Neodiprion lecontei: one gene and its partners. The main gene of each other region encodes a partner of the protein of the gene in region 2 in a complex. Links are inferred from orthologs where the notes say so. Each region holds a gene or a part of one and is shown on either strand. Other genes may lie near its edges.

Region 1 (5,975 bases), on a different chromosome or scaffold from region 2:
TAATTTACTTTATGCCATTTAAACAGAAATTGTCTAGCTAAGGGAATGTCAGACGTCCATCAAATATGATAAATCGTGTCTTACAATTCTTTCTGATCTTACGTAAAAAAGTTTATTTGAATTTCAGGTAGTGATAGGGCTTATAATAGATCTTGTGAATGGAGTAAGAAAAGTTCGGAAAATTAATGGAAACACTAAAATATTTGCAGCTAGTCTACATTTGATTTCAGGTTATTGGATTTAAAGTGCACGCTGCTGCAGCTGAATCAGATATTTTTTTCATTTTATCATAGATTTTCTGAACTTTTCTCACTCGATCCACAAGTCTATTTCTATTATCATAAGTTTGAAGACATTTCAGCACTCGGATAAAGTAATAATTATAAAATACAATTTGCCTTTACAACTACTCAATAATAGGTCTGAACAACATTTATCACTATTTTCGGCGTTTAAAACCAAAATCAGTATAAGGCCTCTATGGGTGTACGTGTATATAAGTGGATGTAATCATTGTGGATGACCTTATATGGACATAAATTTTGATACGTTAATTGGCTACAATACATGAGCTTGGATTTTATGATTGAGAACGGAATGAAGGCTCATTGTAACAGATAGAGCAAATTATTATTTTGGCGATTGAGACAGCGCCGACGAATTGACATAGGTTGGTGGTTTGTGTGATCACATGTGCGGCGAAATCGACTTACATCTTCATAGTCCCTTTCGGTCCCAGGTTTGTTCTCATCACATCTTGGATGCCTTTTGCTGCCGATATATTAACAGCCAGAGCTTGAGCCGCTCGTGCAAACTCAGCTTTCGGGTTTAGGAGACTAATCGCTGCCATTTCTTTATTATTCTTATAATAAATAACGTAAGATAATCGTAACGCCGCGAATACACCCGCTTCGAGAAACAACTGCAGTGCCTTTTAGATCAGAAAACTTTCAATTAATGAATGTGAGTAATCCACGGTATAAGAATAAGAGGTGGTCCGACTGCCTCATACTCCCTGTGTTGAGCTCTGTGATTATTATGTCTTAGTACGACGGAAATCCGCCAGGGACCTCATGCGTCGGTAAGGATGAGCAAGGTCCCTAGATTAGGAAGGTCAAGACACGTTTGTTCCAGTTTTTCTCACTATAACGTGGGAAAAAATGTTCTATGCACGTTCGCCCAAAAAACATCAAACTTACATTACCGCATTAACCAGTTTTGACCAATCTTGTTCAATGTTTTGAGGTTAAGCATTAACGAGTTGCGCCCCTAGTGTCCTGACGTTCACGAAATAAATAGAAGCACGTATATATTTTGAGGTTAATCATTGTGACAGGTCAGAAATCAGAACCACACCAAGTGCTTTCAATTTAGAGCACAGTGTGACACAGCGTACAAATTTCTATTGTAAGCGGCCAATCCGGGCAAAGGAATAGACCAGAAATGTTTACACCGTGTCATATTGTGCTCAAACTGGAAAGCATCCATTGTCATACGAAACTTTTGGCGCATTCTCACTAATTTTTTTTTTTGCCCACACTTGTCTTGACCTGTCTAATCTAGGGACCTTGGCAACACCATAGACTTATAAAAATAGACTGAGCGCTCCTATAAAAGGCACTGACAATTACATATAAAGGACAAAGATATACCAGGAGTACTGCTCTCTCTTTTCAATCGGCCTCATGGTGGGAGACAACGGGGCAGTGGAACAGCTACAGATATAGGCGCATAATTTCGCCTCATTCTCCTCTACCGCCTCTATCCCCGCCAGAAATATCGTCAGAGAGAGAAAGGAGTACTCCCGGCATATTTCTGTCCTTCAAATGTTTGATTCAAGCGGCTCACAAGAGCGCTCGCTCTATCTTTATAAATCTATGGGCAACACAGAGAAACCTACAGCGCCACAGTCGGTCGAATGCGAAAGTGTACCTACCTATGAATATAATGGTTGCTTTCCATTTACTGACTCAAATCGACTCGTGTCGCTATTTCTGGTGTAACCGGCCAATCTGGGCAAAGGAATACACCAGAAATAGCGACACAAGTCGACTTGAGTTAGTAAATGGAAAGCACCCAATGGATCCAGCTCCCATTTTAAAGTGTACTTTTGTAGAGTTAGGCCCGGTCCACAACCTCCACACCTTGACATTAAAACCGAGTTTACCGCTTTAACCTGGTTGAACCGAAGGTTATAAACCAACAACCTATCGCAGCGCCGGCATTGCTTGTTACGCTGCCCCTGATGGCTGGCAACATAAATAAGCATATATACTTGTTATATACCTCTATGAATTTGGCAACAACAGCTTATTTTGTTTTGCAATTCAGCGCGTATCTCCAGCCTATCCTGCAGTACCAATAGTGAGCTAGTACAAAGTATGAAAGTATTACAATCAGTTGTTTTAATTTTAAATTGTCCATACGATTTGAAAAACTTTATTAACCGTCATAAGAATCCGCAATAATTAAACAGTGTGTTTCTTCTACAAGAATACTTGAGGATACAGTACATAACCTGAAAATGAATGATGAAGACATGATCCGCGTGCGGCTGGCAGTTCATCGCACAAATACGAATTTATCTAACGGTGACCATGGGATGCCCAGATATTATACACCCGGTGAAGAGGTGTGTAGTCAGCCTGACTTCATGAGGTACATCATAATCCATCTTATCCAATGAGCTCTTCTATCTCCCTAGTGGCTATTACCTATTGAGGAATGTGCTAAATCCGCTTATACCTATTTTCCCGCTTTTTCCAATAATACTCCTTACACAGTCCAACCAGATCCCGTGTGACGCATCACCCAATAAACGAGTGAAGATTAAATCCATTTTAATTGATCAATAGAAAATCCAAAAAATAAAATTGCAATTGTTATAAAAGCTTGGATTACTAGTTGAATCCGTTCCAACCGTAGTTTCTGTACCAATAAAGGCTGGTTATCAGGTATCAGGTATCATTACAGTTATAGTCATTGGAATCTATTAAATACAAGTAGAGTGTAGGTCAAAATATATGAGCAATTATATTTCAGAATTCGGAATCTTGTCATAGATTGAATTGGAGTTATAGCAATTTGAATTTCCACAATAAAGATCGATACGAAAACCATCAACGCACTAATGCTATTCACTGATTAACATGGATTTAACCTGTTGCAGTAATTAAACAGAAATAAATGGATTGAACTTGATTTGACAATGACGTATCAAACTGCATTTCAAGTGAATTTAAAAGTGTACAAAACAATCAAATGAAAATGGATAGAGATGTGATTATACAGTATAAATTGAATTGAGTCTTAATGATATTATGATCGTAATAAAAAAGAAATTAAATCAAAACCGTAGGCAATTATTCAAAACTATAAAATGATTGATTTAGTTTAACCTTTGTATCATGCCATCAGTTTTCTTCTGAAAATCGGGGTTTACAGCCATCAAAACAAATCTGTTTCAAAACGGTCTAATATACCTTTTATTTTTTTTTATTTTCTGGGTAAAGCAAAATCACTGAGCTTGATTGGATGAATGAATGTCTGCAGAGTGTTATGCATGAAAGTTCTTAATCCTATTTAAATTCAAGCTATATCACCAATTATGTACAAAGAGGACTCATGATTTGAAATTCATTAACTTTGAATTCAATTCTGTGTATTGTAATGTTATAAAGAGGTCATGGGACATACATGGATGACAATGACACGCTGCGCGCATCCGTCGCTGGTGTGCTAGAAAAAGTGAATAAACTGATATCTGTGAAACCTTTGAAGGCACGATACCAAGGTGAAATTGGAGATGTAATTGTCGGCCGAATTACAGAGCTTCAGCAAAAACGCTGGAAGGTTGATACTAACTCAAAATTGGATTCGGCCCTACTTTTATCCAGTGTCAATCTTCCTGGTGGAGAATTGGTAGGTTTGATTACCCCATCAATTTTCTCTACAATCTCCATGCAAAACAAGATTAGTGTTTTTTTTACAACGAAGTTCAATTTAGTAACAATGTTATTACAATACTGAAAAGTAATCACTGTTGTGCAGCACTAGGTTGCCTTACTGCCTTATTAAAATTTTTTGTTTTCCGAACAATCCCAATTTTGTGAAATAACGTGATTTCTCAGACATATGTTGTTACATCAACGTTACAAACCATATTTCGAATATTACTCTGAACTTGAGATGTTTCTAAGAACGAGTGTTTACCTATATGTGATTTACTGCACTTAAGGTCATGTAGTACTTCTATCTTTACTGACCGAGCAAACTCACCCTTTTTATCCCTATATTAAATACACAGACGAACGAAAAGGGTTTAAATTTTGACGGTGCATCTTTTCTTATGTATATCCCGAAAATCATGAAAAAAAAGTATGGTTTCTTGACATGTGTAACTATTGACATTGACGATTTTCGCGATATGAGTAATTTTCCTGAATGCCGCTACAAAAGAGCGATACATCATCGAAATTTGAACCCTTTCCGTTTTTTTGTTTTTTTAATATAGAAAAAAAAAGGGTGAATTTGTTCCGTCGGTAAAGGTAGTATTACAAGACCTTAAGGTTAAATGGGCCTTACTGTCTCAATGATAATTGGAAAAGCGAAAATTCCGTTCGAAAAATCACCTACTATGTTATATGCACCAATGATGGTGAACACGGATGAAGCAACATCCTAACTGAGTAATAGTAATAAGGATGAAGTTGGTAAAGTTATTGCAACGATGCGTGGTCGGGAAAAATCGTTACTTCGCATCTTCAGGATTGTTTAAAATTTAGTAAACCATAATAAACAAAACCTATTCATATCTTGAAAAGCCAACTCGTTGAAAATCATTCTTAAATTGAACAATATAATTATTTTTTCCCTGCTTTTTGATTACGGTAACGTTACTAACTTCAGCTTCGTTAATAGTAATAGTTGGAAGTAAATTTGATTAACACAAGCTGAAATATCAATAATATGAGAAAAAGTTTAATATTTAAAACATTCAGAATGATTGAACTCTGGTGCTTGGTGATTCTAATTTAATGTTCTGACCTTATTTTGTTGATTTTGAAGATTTCTGGAATGTTTACCAGACAATTTGCAAGGGTGGTCTAGTCAGTGAACAAAATGAATCCAAAATCTTTAGATTCGGACATTTGTGTTCACTATCATTGACGCAAACAACACTGCTGGAAATTTTTTTAACGGTTCTTTTCTCTATTTCCAACTTCTCACTTAAGGAGTACGGCACATTCATTCCTATGTAGAATGTCTGTCATTATTCAAAAATACCTTTCAGAGGCGGAGATCAGCAGAGGATGAACAAACGATGCGACGTTACTTGCAGGAGGGTGATTTGATATGTGCAGAGGTGCAAAATGTCTTCGCTGATGGTTCGCTGTCATTGCACACAAGGGTTTTGAAGTATGGAAAACTTTCGCAGGGGATTTTGTTGAAAGTGCCACCTTCGCTGATTAAACGAAAGAAGGTTCATTTCCACAATTTGTTAATTGGCGCGAATTTGATACTGGGGAATAATGGTTATGTGTGGATAGGTGCTAGCATTCACAACACCGATCGGACAGAAGGTGGATTTGCTCAAGATTTGTCCCGTATACCGCAGCAGGATCGAGAAATGTGCGCGCGATTGCGAAATTGCATTTTGGCTTTGGCTCGATCCAACATTTTACTCACTGATACATCAGTAATTTACGCTTATGATGAATCTACCAAATACTCTGCGAATGAGTTGCTACAACCTGAAGCTGCACTCGACGTTGCACTTCTCACACAGCAGAGGCTTGGTGAGAGAATTGATTGAGACGAAGTTAGCAACACAGAATCACCAAGCTATGTACTCGTTTAAAATACATGCGAGTTTACAAAACATTGCAGTATGACAGTCGTGAAAAATGTACGTTTTTAATATTTGTGAAACTGTGAAGTTGAGGATAACATTTTGCTTGACCCAAGCAGCAAAA
Region 2 (7,481 bases):
GTGTAGTGTTAACTATCTGTCCTAAAAATCTAAACAAATTAAGAACATCAGTTGCACTGCGTACCTATTTATTTTATAATCTTAACTCAAATGACATGGTAAGTACTCAGTGACAAACCTGGTGATTATGTCTCCAACAATCCTGGTATTTACAACAGCCTTGTAGTAATTCCAGGAGTTTCCTCCAGCACTCCAGTCAACAACAATTACATTAACGTCACCCTAAAAGCAATTGGATTTGGAAAGTGAAGTTTAATCGATAAACCATGTGGTAGTAGAATATAACACGGTTTGATTTACAATTAGATGGTTTGTGGAAAGGTGCTGTGGTTTACATTGAACATAATAAAATTGCGCGTGCAGTTAACAAGGGAAGTCTCATACATTTGAATGATCATTACTCACCCACAAAAGGAATGCATCTTCCATAGTTTTAATCCACATTTCATTGCCATGAGACAAAAACCCATGAACAATGAGAACAGTTCTTCGGTTTATTTGAAAGTCTGTCCATTCCAAGCCAAATTGCCTTCCAACTAAAACCTCGACTCGATGGCGTTGCCTTCTCGATGACAAGTAAAACTTTACATTCAAATTGTCACAATCCTTGCAACTACCAACAAAAAACCAATGCAGAGTGCTTGCAATTGCACTACCCAAACCTAGACAATCTACTTTGCTCAACCGAAGAAAATTTGTTTCACTCTCTGACGAAATAATACCAGAAATATTGAATCGTTCACGAGTAAGACTACTAATTCCATGCCAATGAGATCTTACTAAGCTACCGTTTTTAATTTGTACTGAACTGATAATTGTAGCACTGCAATTGTTGTTAATAAACAGCATATATGACACAATACCGAAGATAATTATGCTAAACGCACTCATGTTAAGGTCAGTGTTGCTCTTGACGCACTGACCACGATTGATATTTTGTTTATCTAGAAGGAAATATGCAGATAAGACGGAAAGCTATGATGTGATACACTATCCACGTGAATGTTGTCATAATACCACTGGAAATGACTCAACTTTTAGTTTGTCTAGTTTCCAGGCTAATACCATGCACAAATTGACATTTCATCAAAAGAGTAGACCTAATTTAGGGAAAAACAAGCAAATACCTTAATTACTATTCACGACTGATGAAATGAATCATAATGAAAGAATGTTTTGTATCCAAACCCACCATCTAGTTTATTAGTTTATAATGTGGGACATTAATACACAGTTTTCACTGTAAGAAATGTAAACGATTGATGTTCATATTTGAAACGTTTTATTGTTTTAAAACCATTCTGAACAGTTTGAAAGTTAGACAATCTTACCAATAATATCAATAATTGGTACATGGATACTTGTATTTAAGAATGAAACGTAAAAGAAAAAGAAATTCAAATAAGATGAATGGTTCTATATGCTGTGGTATGCGACGTCTAATTCACGGAATATTTTATGAAAGTAATCACTCGCGCTAATCACGATTATTCCGTATCCCGTCCCATCACAGTAGGATTGAATTCTCACGTAGTGTAAGCTTTCAATTTCATCCAATATTCCCGATATATCATTTACTTCAGTTTACAGAAGTGACCCTTTTTCGGACCATATTTTAATTTTTACCAACCCACGGGGTTAGCAGTTCCATTTTTGCTTCTTATTACCTCTATTTCCTTTCCCTCGATTTCCTCGTGCATTCTTTTTCTGAAATTCAAGTGGAATTCGTTGAGTAAACATAAATTCGTGCTGTGGGCTTCTACCTTTTCCACTCGCAATTAAAAGAATTCGATCAATTGTACAACAATAGATAGTAATTTAGTGCTGTACCCATACGAATTTGCCAACTCACCTTGTTCTGAGCTTGGAAAGGAATCTGATTGTGCGCGCGGCTGCCTCCTTGAAAACTACTGAAATCGACATTTTTGTAATCAAATGATTCTCTAGGTAGAATACCTTTCTCTTTCATATTTCTCTTATTTTCCTGTTTACTCTTCTTCTTATTGTTTCTGAAAAATACACGAAATTATATTATTCTTACAAACCATCTTTCTAATTGATCATTACAATGCTTGGTGGATTATTTACTTATTTTACAAGGTTACTTAAAAAATTCTCTGTTATTTGTTCAAAAAGTACGATATTATCTATAGATGATAGCATGAAAAAATTGTAGCACCAGGAAAAACTTTCTGGGTCTAATAAATAAGAATCGGTTTTACAGTTTTCCAAGTCTGAAGTAAGCTGGAATCGTAAAGCGTGTATATAATGGCACAATACAAAATGAATGAAGAAATTCACTAAATAGTTTTTTCGCAATTGTAGAAGTATTACCTGAGTGATTTGACAGACAATTCATTATTTGCAGAAAGTTCCGTATCTTCAGTGAAAGAACTGTGCCCTGTATCGTGGTATGATTTCTTTTGTTTCTTTACACCCTGTGTGGGTGAATTCAACTCTCGTTTATCTCGTCTATAATTTTGAGTGAATTTTTTATGCAGGAAAGGTAGCGGTGTCGATAAATCATCTTGCGACTCTGTCAGTTTAGTATCATCATGATAATTAGATTGTCGTTTACGTTTTCTTCCCTGCATCTGGCTCAAAGTTTTGTGGTCAGGCCCGAACTGTTTAGAATCAATAGACTGATTCGAACTGCTACCAGCGGATTGCTGTACGCTGATTGGATTAGTAACTGCTCCAACCACATCTTTGAAGTGTTTATAAACTCTGTTTTTACTCTCTGCTATTTCGTTTTCACTATTTTCTACCAATTTTATTCTTTCAGCTTCTTCTTTTTCTTGTCTCTCTCTTTCTTTTGCCTCTTCTGCAGCTACCATGGGTAATACACGCTTATACCGTTCAAAAGGACTGATGAATGGCGTTCGTCTTTTTTTTCTCGTAATGTGCCCCGCAGTGTTTTCATCCTAATAAAAAAACAAGCAAAAAAATGTCCTCAAAGACGTACTTGAGAAAATTAAGTGATGAAAATGAATTGATCAAATTAATTAATAGGAGAATCCTAATCTGAGTCAATTGAATTCTAGAGCTGAATTAATTAGATTTTTGCAATTATTGTGAAATCATTTGCTATTTCAAGTTTCGCAGGGTAAGATTCTCCCTTAAAGTACACTTTTTGTTATCAAACCTCCGATTGTGGGGGGCTGTCAAATACAGTGACAGTATGAGGAATCGTGTGTTCGGTAACATTAATTTCTGAAGAGCTGTTTAGGTCCAACAAACAAGGTAAATCGGCTCTGATCTCCATATCATGTGGCATATCATGAGGTGAATATAGAAGTGTAGTTTCTAAATCTGTAACTTGATTTCGCTGCGTCATACGTTGTCGGATATCATCTTCTAGGATAGGTTTGATCATTGGTTGTTCCTTTGCTTTCAAGATTATTTTATGAAGCGATAATGCGTTTTGTCTGACCAGAGGGGGTATGGGGTTACAACATGCCAGAATTCCCTGCATTTCACGGGGTAAACTCTCAGCGATATTCAACAGCATGTGATTTGGTAGAACGTAACCAGTACTGTCGTCCTCTGCCCTGCCAGTAGCATCTCGCCACTTATGCAGTTCTCTAAGAGCGTACAATTGCCTATTGTTGAACATTTTCTTGCTCTTTCGATACAGATTCATACACTTTTCCTCCGACCAGACTGGTTTTCTGTATATCTTTTTGCATACGTCTGTACTTCGATCATACACTGCCTTCAAGATATTGCTTTGGCCATTGGCCTGTTCCAGCAATGCATTCATAAGATTATCTTTAATATACAACAAGTAGTGAGTATCTTCCCTTGCATATTTCATCAGCTCCTCAGGTAGAGGCCTGACTCGCCAATCGGCCAGTTGGAAATGTTTGTTCGGATCAATATCACAGTACCGCTTCATAAGATGTGCCAAACTTAGGTATGGCAAATTAAGCTGTTTGGCCGCAATATGAGTATCAAACATATTTACAATGTACAAAGACAAATCTCTTTGCAGCCACTCGATGTCACTGCCAGCGCCGTGAAATACCTTAAGAATGGACGGTTTCGTAAATATCTCATTAAGCTGGTGCAGCTCAGATCTAAGTGATAATGTGTCGACAAGATAGTCCGTATCTTTGGTTGATATTTGCATTAGACATGTTATGCCTTGGAATGATCTATAAGAATGATGCTCCAAGTCAACTGCAATCTCAGTGTATTTACTCAAATCATCCAATAGTATTTTTATATCTTCAGGTTTTTCAATCACGATTAAAGAAGTGTCGTCTATATGTTTATATTCAACAGGAACACGAGACTCCAGTTGATGCTCAGGTGCTTCAAACCTATCAAGTTCAAATTCGTATGGATGGCTGAAAAATTCTCCATCTTCATCTTCTTCGACATACAGAGCGAGTGGCTTCAATGAGTTTGGTTTATCCTTTATTCTAGGTTGCCAAGGTTTAATGCTGTTATCAATTTTATCTTCAAACTTCAACTGCGGTCGCTGGATATTCTTTGCCGTCAGTAAACAAATCGCTTGAGCCTTATTTGCCGGTTGAGTTTGCTGAGTTTTTGAATGGAAGGACAGATTGTTCCAGCTGCCGCTTACAGCTGTCGAGTTACTTTGCGATACAACAAATTCGACATCTGGGTTTCGCAGAATTCCTGAGGCCTCATCCATACATATTCCCTAAAAATAAATTAAATTCTGTTACTTTCCTTAACCAAAGGTAAATGGTTTTCTTCTGATGTTGCCAACTTACTGCTCGCTCTAATAAAATATCATTAGCTTCAATCAAAAGCTCAAACTTCTCTTCTATGTCACGCCGTCTGATATTGCCTCTCACTCCCACACCTTCTGTAATGTTTTGCATACAGACCAAAACGTTGTTGATCTCCTCATTAATGATATTACGAAAGGTTGGAAAACATTTGTAGTAGTCATATTTTTCACCACTGGGTAAGCCGTTGGCGGCCTTTATGCCGGTTTTTAGTGCTTCAAATCCAACCTGGAAAAATAATTTGATTACGATCAGCATAGACGATTAAATGAGAAAATTGACCAACATAAATCATTATGTTTTAGTTGTTTTAAATACGTATAGTGAGATTAGAAGCTGTGACACTCACATTAACGAAATCATCAAAATTTGTGAACCCTGGTAGGATTTCGATGACCTCCACACCCTGAGCATTTGCGGATTCATCCTGTGGTTCGGAATCATTACGAGATTTGTGACCAGGCTCAATACTCGTGTCGGTGCTCATTTTTTCCACGAATGTCGTCAATAAAAACGTGACGAAACTTTCTATGCACTTTTGAGGTTAAGGGTACCTAGTTTTAGGGTTATATCTTACACACGCCACCAGTGTCTCGAAAGTGAGGAAAGTGAGCTTGAAGTCTGACTACTTGATACATAAATGTTGAGTGTAAGGGCCTTGCGACCAACTTCATTTGTAAAAATTGCAAAGTGTCATACTTCGATTTGCATTAAAACCACAGCTATGTAATTGGCTAATCTGACGTTTTATTTTTTCCATGAGTCTGCCAGCCAATCGGTGTGTCTGACTTGTCGCTGTCGCTGTATTAAACATTTTCAATAGCTTCTTCACGCACTATACCATACTATACCTAACCTTCCGTAAACACTACTATCCATTCTCGAATGTGAAATGACGCTTGTAGTTGTATCTACAAACGTGTGAACAGTGATTACAGACTGTAGTATACAATGCATATTCAAGATGGTGCGAACAACAAAGCGATCCCATAAGGTGATGTAAATAAGAAAAGTTGTCTACGAAAATTGTTTGTGAGCAGAGTTAAGAAAACGCGCAAGGAATAATCAAAACCAAAAATATGGCCAAGTCTGTATTGAGTTCAGATACCCTTCCTAAGGCAGGAAGAGTAAACGAAGGTTAGTTGAATATATCCAGAGTCTTCAAGCTTTCTCTTGTCACTTTTCAAGACGCGCCGTAATTGCGGCTAATTCCTCTCGAGTTAATGTTAATTCCGACGGTTACAGTTTGTCGGGAGTGGCTGGTACACGAAGATGGAGCATTGGCATACAGACTACAGGACGAGGAGAGTAAGTTTTTTTCGTCATGACCAATATTATTACAGTCTCAACCACGGTAATAATTGCGTGAAATTTACTGTGATACGTAAACGATAACCAACAATGGCTCTCATCTCCTTTGTTGTTTACAGTTAAAGAACACTACACAGGAAACAAGGTTCGCAATGCACAAGTACGCGAGGATTTACCTAAGGCCAAAGTTGAACAAGAACTTGAAGCCCTTAGATATCAATGCATTATCCAACAACAGTTAGTGAAACTATTTTTAAATTGAAAACATATGGATTCATGATCGACTTTCAAATAGTTCTATACTTATATTATTGATGTGCAAAAATGTGTTGTGCAAACAAAACTTTAAACTTAATTGCACATAAAATTGATTTACTGTTTTTCAAGTTTATTTTTTCATAAACATGGTATTTTTTTTGTCAAAATGAAACATTGTAACCGAAGAATTGATGAAGAATTATCCAACAGGGAAGAGAAAGATGCACTTGTTGCAAAGCAAATTGCTTTAAATTTAGAACGTGAGGAACGGAAGAAAGAAAGAATGTTGCAAGAGCAAATGAGACGGCAGCTCAGACTCGACGATGAAACTGCGCAGCTAGAAGCTGAATTGGAGATGCAAAAGCGGATTCAAGAAGAAAAAGATCAGGTAATATAAAGAAACAAGAATTTCACGTACATATTTGTTCAATACTAATTGATGTAGAGGTAGTTTCCCACATGTGCTGTATGATACTGGAATAATATAAAAATCACATAAAACTGAGTTATTCAAAGATGTCTATGGTAATTTTACTTATCTACGTTATCATTATGCTATGCTGAATAGGAATTAGCAAGAAAGTTACAACTGGAAGAAGAAGAAGCTACGGCAGAGGGTGAAGGTTCTATGATAGATGAACAGCTGCTAATTGACCAGAAGATAGCGATGGAAGCTCAGGATGCAGAATTAGCACGAATGCTACAGGATAAAGAACGTGCAAAAGCACGAAGAGCAAGAGAACGTGCGAAGCAAAAAAAACTGGAAAAACAGCAGCTTCAACTACTCGAGGGGCAGAATGCTATTGAAAAGCCACAAAGGCCTGACAAATTGGATCTGAAAATACAACACCAGGTTAAACAAAAAGCTGGTGCTAATTATTCGCAGTATCCTGATCCAGAAGAAATTCAGGTACTGGAGAGTCCGTTGAATGAAATAAGGGAAATGCCCAATGTTGCTGCCATGATTGATCCAACATACAACGGTAATACACACAGAAGCTCTTCAAGCAGTTCAAGCAACACCACAAGCCCTGCTTATGTTTTACCCACACCACCTCTCGAACTGATGGACGAGGATGCACCTTGTTATATGCCGATTCAAGGGCAAAGGCGTAACCAGATTCAGTCCCCTTCACTTGTTCATGAAGA
Region 3 (5,490 bases), about 16 Mb from region 2:
TTTTGCAAGGTATTATATCAAGCTCGGCGAAGATTTATTCTGTAGTTTTTACTGTCACAAATGTGACTGTCAACTATTATAAATGAAAAACAGAATTCTTAGATCGGAAGTTATTCATGTTTAAATCTTTATTAGAACAAGATGAAGGTCTGGAAGCATTGTCAAAAGTTATTTCTCGACAAAAGGATATCGCAAACACCATTAATAATGAAGTCGATCATCAGAATGGTGAGTATTTTGATTCACTATCTTTATGTTGCATATTCGCAATGAAAATTGTATACCATCACAATTTGTGGGTTTGAACAATCCAGTAATAGATATCGGAAAATTAATTATTCCTATGCGCGAATTTTTTCACACTAGTTTGTTCATTTCGCCGTTTGTTTTAGAAATAATCGATGATCTGGCCGATCACATGGAGAGGACCGATCAACGATTAATCAATGGAACTCGCCAAGTCGGTATAATTGATCGTAAAGATCGAACGTGCGGTTATTGGATTGTTATCATCTTGTTATTTATTAGCATAATTGCAGTTGCCGTAGTTTAAAATTAACATATAGAGGCTTATATTCACAATATATAATAATCAGCACGGTATATTCAACACACGTGATATCGAAAGTAAAATTACATTTCTTGTTCACCCCTTGCTTCAGATAATCGAAATGGCAACTTCACAAACAATATCGTATATACGATTTCACACTCTTTTCAATTAGCACACTCGCATTGGAAGTTTTCAAAAATTTGTGAAAACCATTGTACGCGGCTGTAAAGTAAATCAATTCGGTGCAGCCCAATTATTCCGTTTATAATTAGATTTTATGCTATTATTTGTAAATATATTATAGATATTTCTCTCGCCTGAAACTCTTTCCATCGCATTTCACTGGTCTTTTTCACCACATTCAAATAGTAGCCAGGTTTGATTTATCAGTGTATCCTTGTTGGGAAAAGAAATCGAACATGTTAGTATCGTTACAGAATGCTTGAGAGTATTTTGAGTTGACTGTCACTGAAAAGAATAAACGAAAATTAAACGTGTTGGGGATCTAACACAAAGAAACGAAGGTCATTCTTTGTGGATTTTGTAAATTGCAATACACAACAAGACTGAATTATGGGAGGAAAAAAATTGCAGCAAGTGAGTCTTCCAGGATATTTTTTCTGTGAACTCTGCATTTTATGTGCAATAACAAAAGAATTGAATTACTCAATGGATTGAGGAGTAAAGTTTGAGATTGACCTTGTGAATGACCTAGTGAAGTGTAATTTTTTTTCTCTAATGTACGATAAGTAATTTGTAGTATTATTGCAACTCGACAGGCAAAAGCTGTCTACAATGTATGTACATAAAAAATTACTCCAAATATATGAGTACGTATTTATATATGTATATATATAAATATAAAGTACTTGACATTCCAACAAAAATTAGTGTTCCTTATAAGCATTTCAATAGAAATTGAGACAATATTGATTCTATATGTTTAACCCAGTTTACACAATCATCCAACTATGCTATTCATTGTGGCACATTGGCAAAATGAATAGTCCGTTTATGAATGCAATTTACATTTATTTTATTTTTCATTAACGATATGCTCCGGTACAACTTTAGCTACTTTGCGCAATTCTTTGTTTAGGGTCTCTGGGCACTGCATTTCCGTCCAACTTACAGGCACCATAGATACACCTGTATAAAAAAAAAAACGAGGAATTTTCTACATTAACCCTTTACTCAACAAAATCCATAATTTCCAAATAGTGATATTTTGTTTTCACAGCAACTAATCTCAATTCACCCTAAAAAGTACAATAAAACTTCCATTTCGAGTCTAAGGCGGTAATTTTTCCAAACGATTTCATTTTGATAAATGAAGTGTAAATGGTTATGACACAAAGATGAAAACCTGTATTGTGCTGATTTTTTGTTTTACATATCTTCAAACTGAGAGCTGAGAGCTATTGAATATTTTATAGCGTATATATTCTTTGACATTTTTCTACCGCTATAAAAAAATAATTCTGCTTACCCTCTTCGCTGTGGGCGATAACGACTCCCAATTCATTCTCGGCAGTGGAAAGTTGATAAGTATGGACTTCGGTGAGAGGTAACTAAATTTTGCATGGGAAAAGTAGCCAACTATGAAACTGCGGTATTGATAACGAACGGTAGAAAAAAATTTTCAAAGAAAAAGGATACAACTCTAGCCAGAATAATATCTCCTGGTTTAAAAGATTTGTACATTTCAGTCTTATCTTTTTCCGTAGCCCTGACGTCTTCTTTTCTTAAAATGCCTCTGTAAGGTCTGGTCAAAACCACATCCCCAATGCATTTTATAACGCATTTGCAAAACCTTTGATTAACGACCATTACCTCGGCTGTTACAATGTCTCCGGGAGCTGGGACAATGCTTTGTTCTCTTATGCCGTGCACCTCAACTGTGCTCTTCTATTGATAATAGAAAGTGAGAAATGATGTTTAATCTGAAGGCAAGCGACCGTGAAATATCTTAAAACTTATCGTACGTGTTCATCTTTAACCAAGTTCACCACTCCTGCTAATTTTGAATAAATATATCCGTGCTGCTCGTAAGTTCCCGGTCCTGGAACATTTACTTTGTCCGACAAACAGAGCCTCTGACCTGGATTGCAATAAAAATTTATCATGAGTCTTAACCACCTTTAATTTGCATACAAACAAAACGTAATTGAGGATAGGACGGGCCAATTCATTTGGGACATTTCTGCGTAGAAAACTTGGGAAATGTTTATCGATTTCGTAATTCATTCATCCTTACCTGGAACACACACTATTGGCTCATTTCTTTCGTCCATTTCAGTTTTGAATCTATGTAAGTTTATTATTATTTTTCAAATTGCGACAACGGTGACAACATGTGGAGCACGTTTGAAATTAGGTTAGGTTGGGTTGTCATATTGTAGTTGGATTGGTTGGATTGGTTGGATTGTAAACAGAATTTTGTCAGCCTCGAAATCGCAAATGATCAATTGATCGATATGATTTAAATGTAAATCCATGTAAATCATCGTCGCACCAATCATTTGGAACGTTGACTGACTTCAGTCAAGTCTCGGAATACCGCGGAAAAGGGGTTAAGTAATTAGCTCTTAATACCTGGATGACAATGTTAAAATTGTAAAGGTTGAAAATAATGAACAATTCAAAAGTGCCGCCTCCTTCATTTCTACAAATTAATAAGTTTCCGTCATCAATGTTCGAAATTCTAACAATAGAAAATTATTCCAATTTATAAATCTCGCAAGATGTGAACCGATTCCAAGAAATCGTTGATCAAATTTGATCGAGTTTCGTTGCGATTGTTAAAAATAATTAGTGATTAAAATTTTTTAAATTGCTCTCCCGCCAGTTTGTATAACCGGAAGTCCGCGTTAATTTGAAAAGGTTTCGTACATTACTTCAGACCGCTCGATGTTCTTCTGTTGTTTAAAATTTATGGTGCTTGCACTGAAAGTTTTACTCCACCATACGCGGAAAACCTGTTGAATACTAACAGCAAGTCGCATAATTGACACATAACATTTATGACAGTTTATTCGCTGCAATGCTACAACATTACGTAATTATCAAATGTACATATTAATTAACATATTTCTACTTATAACTTAAAAGTCACAGACTACACAAACTATTGAATTGAACTAAAAGAAAGTCACCTGTATAAACAAGTAATGACATGATCATAGAAGTAATTGTTTGAAAAAATGTATACAGTGGGTTACATTAGTATCTCAGATACATATTTTCAAACGCATTATTATGATTATATAATTAATTACCTTCTTTATTACACATTGTTATATTATACAAAATATAAGCTCGATTCCAGGAGTCCACATAGCTCACAAGTACACATAATAGGTATAGTAATATCTATTCAATTGCGTTTCAATGTACAATTTTTTTTGTTGAATTACATACTATATTATTCACACACGTTGGAACAACATCGTCACTTTGAGATGCGTTGAATACTTTTTTTTATACGTATCAAACAAAAATGGATATGTGTATACATAAAACTTATTGAATCGACTGTAGATACGTGATACCCTATAAATAATCCGCTATATCAGTAAATCACATAATTTATACAATAATTGATCGGTCGAAAATATCTTTTAAATCGCATTATCGATGCTGTTGCGAAGAAAAATTAAATAATAGCAAATCGAAGTTGATGTGAAAAAAGAAGATAGAAATACAATAGAACCTGGTTTATCCGAGGTAATATGGGGAGAGCATAACTCGGATGCGTGAAATTTCTGATAATACGGAAAACATGTACAATCCATGCCATTACGATGTTTTACCCTAGCTTCCAGAATCGGAACTGCAGCGATTATTGCTCGCAATGTCACAAATCGCAAGAAACTTTTACAAGTTTATCCGTATTCAAATAAAGATGCGACACAAAACTATTTCATACACATAAGGCACAGTGGATTGTTCAGTTTCATCCAAGGTTCTCCGTATTATCCGAAGATATACACATTGGTGAATGCAGAGTGCTCGGATGAGATGGGCCTCTTGGATAATGCGGAACCTTGGATAATCGAATGTCGGATAAGCTAGGTTCTACCATAGAAATAACAATTTGCATGATTTAAATAAACGCCTTGATAGTTTCGTCGCTTGTAGATGAGCGCTAGTTAAACAAAGTACAATGAGGATGGGGTGCGATGAGGAGGATCGCCAATTGATTTACCTACATAATTAACCCTTCTTGAACTTAATCAGCAATATCGATAATGTGAGGAATATTATTATCCACAGGAACGTGGAGATGAAACCGTCGTAAACGGCTGGCTGAGATATGGGCCATCCTTTACCGAGCATTGCCCTGATCGACTCTGTGCTCTTCGTCAACGGCAAGATAAAGCTGATGTATCTGAGGACCGGATTCATCCCCTCGACTGGCCAAATGATCCCACAGAGCATGACGATTGGCAGAAAAGAACCCATCGCCATGTAAGTTGCGCTTCGTTCGTTGTCGCAGGCACAGGCAACCACGAAACCTGCGGATAGCAATTATGTTATGTAGCACTCAATCATATCTTTTCGAAAATTCAACCGGTAATACTGTGAGATTAATTACCGAAGCACATTCCACAGAGCCCCGTCAGCACCGTCAGAACCGTCACCAAAGCGATGCTGCCATGACATGTCAGCTTGAATACCGCGAACGAAAAGACTAGGACCATCAATGTTTGGCCGCACATAACAACGAACTGGGTCACCACCTGGCCGAACAAAATCTCCGTACCGGTGATACCTGCAAATACGAGAATGGATGAAAGTGACAAGCGGTATGTTATTGAAGGTTAAACTTGTTCCTTTTGTTGAACGGATTGTGAATTTAATTTAAGATAGTATATTTTGTCTTGTCGCAACACTGGAAAGCAGAGCTGGGATCGTGTGCTCAAAGGCCTTTTCTT
Region 4 (4,666 bases), on a different chromosome or scaffold from region 2:
ACCATGTACTTCGATTTTGTTAGTTGCCAGCGGTAGCGGAATTCTCTAGCGGAGAAACTATGGGTCACAGTGGCGACAGGTTAGCTTCGGCATTTGGAGTAACTCGGGCAGAACAGGACCAGTATGCCTTGCGCTCGCATACTCTCGCTTCCCAAGCCCAACAGCAAGGATTTTTATCTGATATTGCGCCATTCAAAGGTAATTCCCTCAACGTTACTGGATAATTTCATACCACATGTATATTTGTTGATTAACACAGTTTCACATCTTTTCAGTGCCTGGTGTGAATGACGTCATTGACAAGGACAATGGAATTCGAGTTTCTACACCAGAACAGCTAGCTAAGCTTAAGCCAGCGTTTGTTAAACCATACGGGACTGTTACAGCAGCTAACGCATCTTTCCTGACTGACGGAGCATCCGCTGCTCTCATCATGACTGAAGAAAGGGCTAAGCAGCTTGGACTGAAACCAAAAGCATATCTGAGGAACTTTACTTATGTATCGCAGGATCCGGTCGACCAATTGCTCCTGGGACCTGCCTATGCTATCCCAAAGGTAAAATTATCTTCCCTAGCTTTTATTTTGACCCTGTCATACGAATACAGATTTCGCAATTTGGCTGGTTTAAGTACTGGAACTGTAAAATTCGAACATATGGAACAAAATTTTTTGATCCCCCAATTAATGGAAATATCTAGTTACATTAAATACAGGTTGCACGAAATACAAAAATGTATATAAATTAAACGCCTCACAGGTGTTGGAAAAAGCCGGCCTGGGCTTGAATGACATAGGAGTCTGGGAAGTGCATGAGGCGTTTGCTGCACAAATTCTAGCAAACTTGAAAGCCATGGATTCTGATTGGTTTGCACAGAAATATATGGGTAGATCAGGTAAAATTGGTGTGCCAGATATCAACAAGTGGAATGCTTGGGGTGGTTCTCTGTCTATCGGACATCCCTTCGCCGCTACTGGAGTTAGATTAGCAACTCACACAGCAAACCGCATGATCAGAGAGGATCAACAATTCGGGCTAATTGCTGCCTGCGCTGCTGGTGGTCAGGTCAGCAATGATTTCTTATTTTATTATACACAAATTTTAATTCTTGGATCCTCAAGCCTGGCATGCGCTGCAGTAATCAATGACGGATGAACCATTTATCTTTATTTACAGGGAGTTGGAATGATACTGGAGAGACACCCAGATGCCAAACTTTAACGGAACTGCAGAATAAACTATTCTAATCTTCTATTCGTAAATACGATACACTGCATTAAACGTTTTATAAATGCAAAAGAGTACGAACCCTTTCAAAACTAGGCTGAAAGAACGAATTTATATTTTTACAGTCGGAGATATCTGTTATATAAATGTGTACATGTATATATTTTTTAAGATTTATTACACCTTGAAAAAAGGAAAAAAAAAGCGTAATGAAATAGTACAATAAATCATGATCCATTTCAAATTTTCATTAGTTCATTTCATATGCATAGCTGACGACACATACACACATATATAAGTAAAACAAATATGGGGATGAATTAAACATAGTACTAAATAAAATGAGGATCATGTGTCGTTAAATGGAATCTAACTGCTTGATCAAGAATCACCCTTGTATCCCGACAGCCCTGCAACGCCCGTTGCCTGAGCCCTTCGAGCCTGGAGAGATGGAGTCGTGCACCAGTTCCTTGCGCCACGACTACTAAACCGGAATTGTCGGTATCTGACTCATAATTAGAGCCAGGGGCTCCTGGTAAAGCAACGACAGTTAATGTCGTCGCTCCTGTACATTCCTCCATATGATTTGCATCAACTATTCCTGTTCCAGATCCTGTTTCATCCTTACTGTCAACTTCTTCCGAAGCTCCCATGCTGGCTATCGTTGCTGTGCATCCTACAGAGTAATCCTGTAAGTAAAGCATATCAAATTTCATTATTTTTATAGTAGAAATCAGTAAAAGCACAGTGCGTAAGAAGTTATTATTAGAAGTACCTTAATGGGAATACCAGCGTCGATTAGAGCGAGAGTCGCTGCGTTTACTGCTGCGCAATAATCACTGCCGTCGGACTGAAGGACTTCGACAAACACGTCGATTTGAGAGCGAGGGTACAGTTCTACTTGTACAATAGCTTCGATAGCCCTGCGTAGCTGCAGAGACGTTTCTTGGGTCTTGCGATCACCGCGTGGTCGTTTCTTGCGCTCACCGGCACTAAAACTGAACACAGCCATACTGTACTGGCAATTTATAATTCCCGTGCCACTTCTGTTCCCACCACGCCCCCCTCCTCTTGGCTGTAGCAAACAATTGTTATTGTCAATGAGCAAGTTAAGAGAATTATGGATGTGAACAACTGAAATACGTTATAGGAAATAACCTGATGGGGCCCGTACACTGCAGCCAAAACTTTTGTGTTGCCCTGTTCTAGGTAAGCACTCCCATCCGACTGCCCGAAGACACCCATTCGAACTCGAATCTGTCTCAACTCATTTGCTCGTCGTCCATCGACTCTTAGTCCTTGGTCCGACACTAAGTCTTGGCCAGACATTGCGAAATTTACTTTGTATACTTTCAGTATCACTTTCCTTTTACAATTAGTCGATTGTAGAATCGCGTGGTGTACCCGTTTGTTGTCGATCTTGCCCAACCTAATTTGTCTCGGCCTTTCAACCACGCTTTCGTGAGGCTTTGACGGCTTTGACCATAATCTTTCCTGCTATACCATGGCTACACTAATAACTAAAGTGAGCTAGGTGTTCGACGGTAAGTAAAGATATGTTTTGTTGGTAACATGAATCATCGGAATAAACGAAGATGGAAAGCCCAACGACACCCACGAAACACTTACCAAACGCGTTCGTGTACCGGCAGCACTGTCAAATTACTAAGATATAAGATTATCGACTAGCGTTCGCCCACTTCGCCCTCCGAACGCGCACGGAAAGTTAATCAGGTTCATGTAAATAATATTATTCAGTGTTCAAATTAAGCGCACAAATTTGTGCTTAGGCATGATCAGCATGTTTAAATTCGCTAGTAATTAGTTTGAAGCGCTAGAAATCCCTTGAACAGACGCAGATTTACCCACGAACTCGGCAGCGCAAAAGAGATAAGAGATGATTGACAGCACTGGGAGCTAACTTCGAAACACACCCTTTAGAGCCAAAGTGGATGTGAGGTGTTGTGCCCTTTATAAGTCTATGGTTGTGCCTTGAAAAATGTACGCAATCCACTGACAGTACGGTAGTCGCTTTCCAATGCGGCCTCGAAGGTTTTCTGCGATTCTAGGGCATTTTCTTCTCGGCCAAGTGGTATGCTTGGTGGCAAGAGGCGTGAAGTGTGCTTGACGAGGCTTTGACAGTCCCACGACAGTCGGTAGTTTATAGATTTACCCACACCTTTTCTGTAAAAACAAAGATTTAATTCTTTGGTGTTACGCTTACCGAATCAAACTTGTTCCCGATATAATTTAGTTCTAATCTGAGAACTTATTGACAGCTGAATTACGTGTAGAAATCATGGTTTCCGAGCCGCTGTTGTTCGCGTTTGCTCTATTCGACACCGGCGCTGTGCTTTTTCTGCTTGTGTATTTTGTATCCTTTTTTAATTGTAATGCTTTTTGATTAGCGTTATATTACGCTGTACGTTATCGATGAATTTACGTTGCATAAACATCTCGGTGTATGTTGTTTGATGTTTACTCGGTTGCTTTGACGTAGTCCAAGATTTCTAGGGAATTTCACGTTGTCATGTTTCGCCCATGGTGCCTTAGAATACCCTAAATAAACGTCAGGGAGTAGTAGGGTGCAATAACCGCCAATTCAAAGTCTGCAACGAAACCCACGGCGATGACTGAAGACTGTCAAAGACGGTTGCCCTAACTGGGTTTTGTGTATCTAACGAGATTGAGTGTTAAACAGCTCCCGCAGGTAAAAAAGGATCGCTAACACGGATTCTTATGGCTCTAGGCCCACTTACCCGCTGAGTAATGGTCTGGAAATGTTTTTTTTTCAGCGGTAACCGTCTGCATACTTCCGTCAACACTCGCGTCAAATATGTCGTTGAAATAGTTCCATTGTTCTGTGTTGGGCAGCAAAAATGTTAATAGGCTTATAGAAGACACCAATATCGTGGCTTCGTTTTGGTTAACAATCAGTCCTGCAATATGCATGTACAACGTATATGACGTACAAGTATATCTTGTCTATGATTTATAATAGAAACCTACAGATAAAAGAAGATGAAAACTCGAAATATATTTATAGATGTGAAAACGTCTTGAATAAATAGTCTTACAAAACGCACCTGTTTAATTGACATTGACGACTTTCCGTTTATATCTCTGTTTAAATAGATTCTGCATAGTTTCAGGGGAGTTTATATCGTTTATTTGTCTTTCACGACCCGCACGGTTTTTGAGAATTGGTAGCAGCCACGAGTTTGTCGCAGTACATAAATTAAAAATAGCCCTATATTAAATAATCGCTCAATTCAACGTCTATCTCACCGTCGTTTGCAGTTATTAATGCAAGCAGATATTACGCAAGCTCTAAAGCGGCGCCTCTCGTGTCGAGATTGCTCTGCGAAAACTATACGTTGCATCTTTTAAAGTTTAAATTACCTAGTTAACCTGACCCCGGTGTCGAACTTTTTCTTCTT

What was found.
Region 1: exosome component 10 (region 2) and exosome complex component RRP4 share a complex: the UniProt entries of both Caenorhabditis elegans proteins name them as parts of the RNA exosome complex. The link is inferred for Neodiprion lecontei from reciprocal best matches to the Caenorhabditis elegans genes crn-3 and exos-2.
Region 3: exosome component 10 (region 2) and exosome complex component CSL4 share a complex: the UniProt entries of both Caenorhabditis elegans proteins name them as parts of the RNA exosome complex. The link is inferred for Neodiprion lecontei from reciprocal best matches to the Caenorhabditis elegans genes crn-3 and exos-1.
Region 4: exosome component 10 (region 2) and exosome complex component RRP41 share a complex: the UniProt entries of both Caenorhabditis elegans proteins name them as parts of the RNA exosome complex. The link is inferred for Neodiprion lecontei from reciprocal best matches to the Caenorhabditis elegans genes crn-3 and exos-4.1.

The regions. Positions count from the first base shown.
Region 1 is NC_060261.1:25,394,279-25,400,253, reverse strand, and holds the start of exosome complex component RRP4, read left to right. Parts: upstream 1-2,253; 5' UTR 2,254-2,379; exon of another isoform or gene 2,380-2,493; 5' UTR 2,494-2,524; coding exon 2,525-2,658; intron 2,659-2,701; exon of another isoform or gene 2,702-2,954; intron 2,955-3,680; coding exon 3,681-3,921; intron 3,922-5,293; coding exon 5,294-5,815; 3' UTR 5,816-5,975. Other genes in the region: T-complex protein 1 subunit zeta, read right to left, coding at 714-850. UniProt on the Caenorhabditis elegans protein: Non-catalytic component of the RNA exosome complex which has 3'->5' exoribonuclease activity and participates in a multitude of cellular RNA processing and degradation events. Involved in regulation of antisense ribosomal siRNA production.
Region 2 is NC_060263.1:36,947,130-36,954,610, reverse strand, and holds exosome component 10, read right to left. Parts: upstream 5,431-7,481; 5' UTR 5,251-5,430; coding exon 5,113-5,250; intron 4,992-5,112; coding exon 4,746-4,991; intron 4,673-4,745; coding exon 3,146-4,672; intron 2,925-3,145; coding exon 2,335-2,924; intron 2,010-2,334; coding exon 1,853-2,009; intron 1,708-1,852; coding exon 1,639-1,707; 3' UTR 1,260-1,638; downstream 1-1,259. Other genes in the region: pancreatic triacylglycerol lipase, read right to left, coding at 1-29, 119-222, 406-891; coiled-coil domain-containing protein 50, read left to right, coding at 5,843-5,900, 6,009-6,071, 6,194-6,311, 6,543-6,720, 6,901-7,481. UniProt on the Caenorhabditis elegans protein: Catalytic component of the RNA exosome complex which has 3'->5' exoribonuclease activity and participates in a multitude of cellular RNA processing and degradation events. Involved in apoptotic DNA degradation.
Region 3 is NC_060263.1:20,668,834-20,674,323, forward strand, and holds exosome complex component CSL4, read right to left. Parts: upstream 2,948-5,490; 5' UTR 2,848-2,947; coding exon 2,811-2,847; exon of another isoform or gene 2,655-2,810; coding exon 2,539-2,654; exon of another isoform or gene 2,462-2,538; coding exon 2,213-2,461; exon of another isoform or gene 2,125-2,212; coding exon 2,043-2,124; exon of another isoform or gene 1,703-2,042; coding exon 1,590-1,702; 3' UTR 1,182-1,589; downstream 1-1,181. Other genes in the region: syntaxin-8, read left to right, coding at 1-9, 136-228, 393-553; ABC transporter G family member 20, read right to left, coding at 4,769-5,070, 5,151-5,327. UniProt on the Caenorhabditis elegans protein: Non-catalytic component of the RNA exosome complex which has 3'->5' exoribonuclease activity and participates in a multitude of cellular RNA processing and degradation events. Involved in regulation of antisense ribosomal siRNA production.
Region 4 is NC_060262.1:41,627,671-41,632,336, reverse strand, and holds exosome complex component RRP41, read right to left. Parts: upstream 2,832-4,666; 5' UTR 2,556-2,831; coding exon 2,385-2,555; intron 2,302-2,384; coding exon 2,002-2,301; intron 1,916-2,001; coding exon 1,559-1,915; 3' UTR 1,404-1,558; downstream 1-1,403. Other genes in the region: trifunctional enzyme subunit beta, mitochondrial, read left to right, coding at 24-198, 276-556, 759-1,064, 1,176-1,220; protein cornichon homolog 4, read left to right, coding at 3,526-3,600. UniProt on the Caenorhabditis elegans protein: Non-catalytic component of the RNA exosome complex which has 3'->5' exoribonuclease activity and participates in a multitude of cellular RNA processing and degradation events.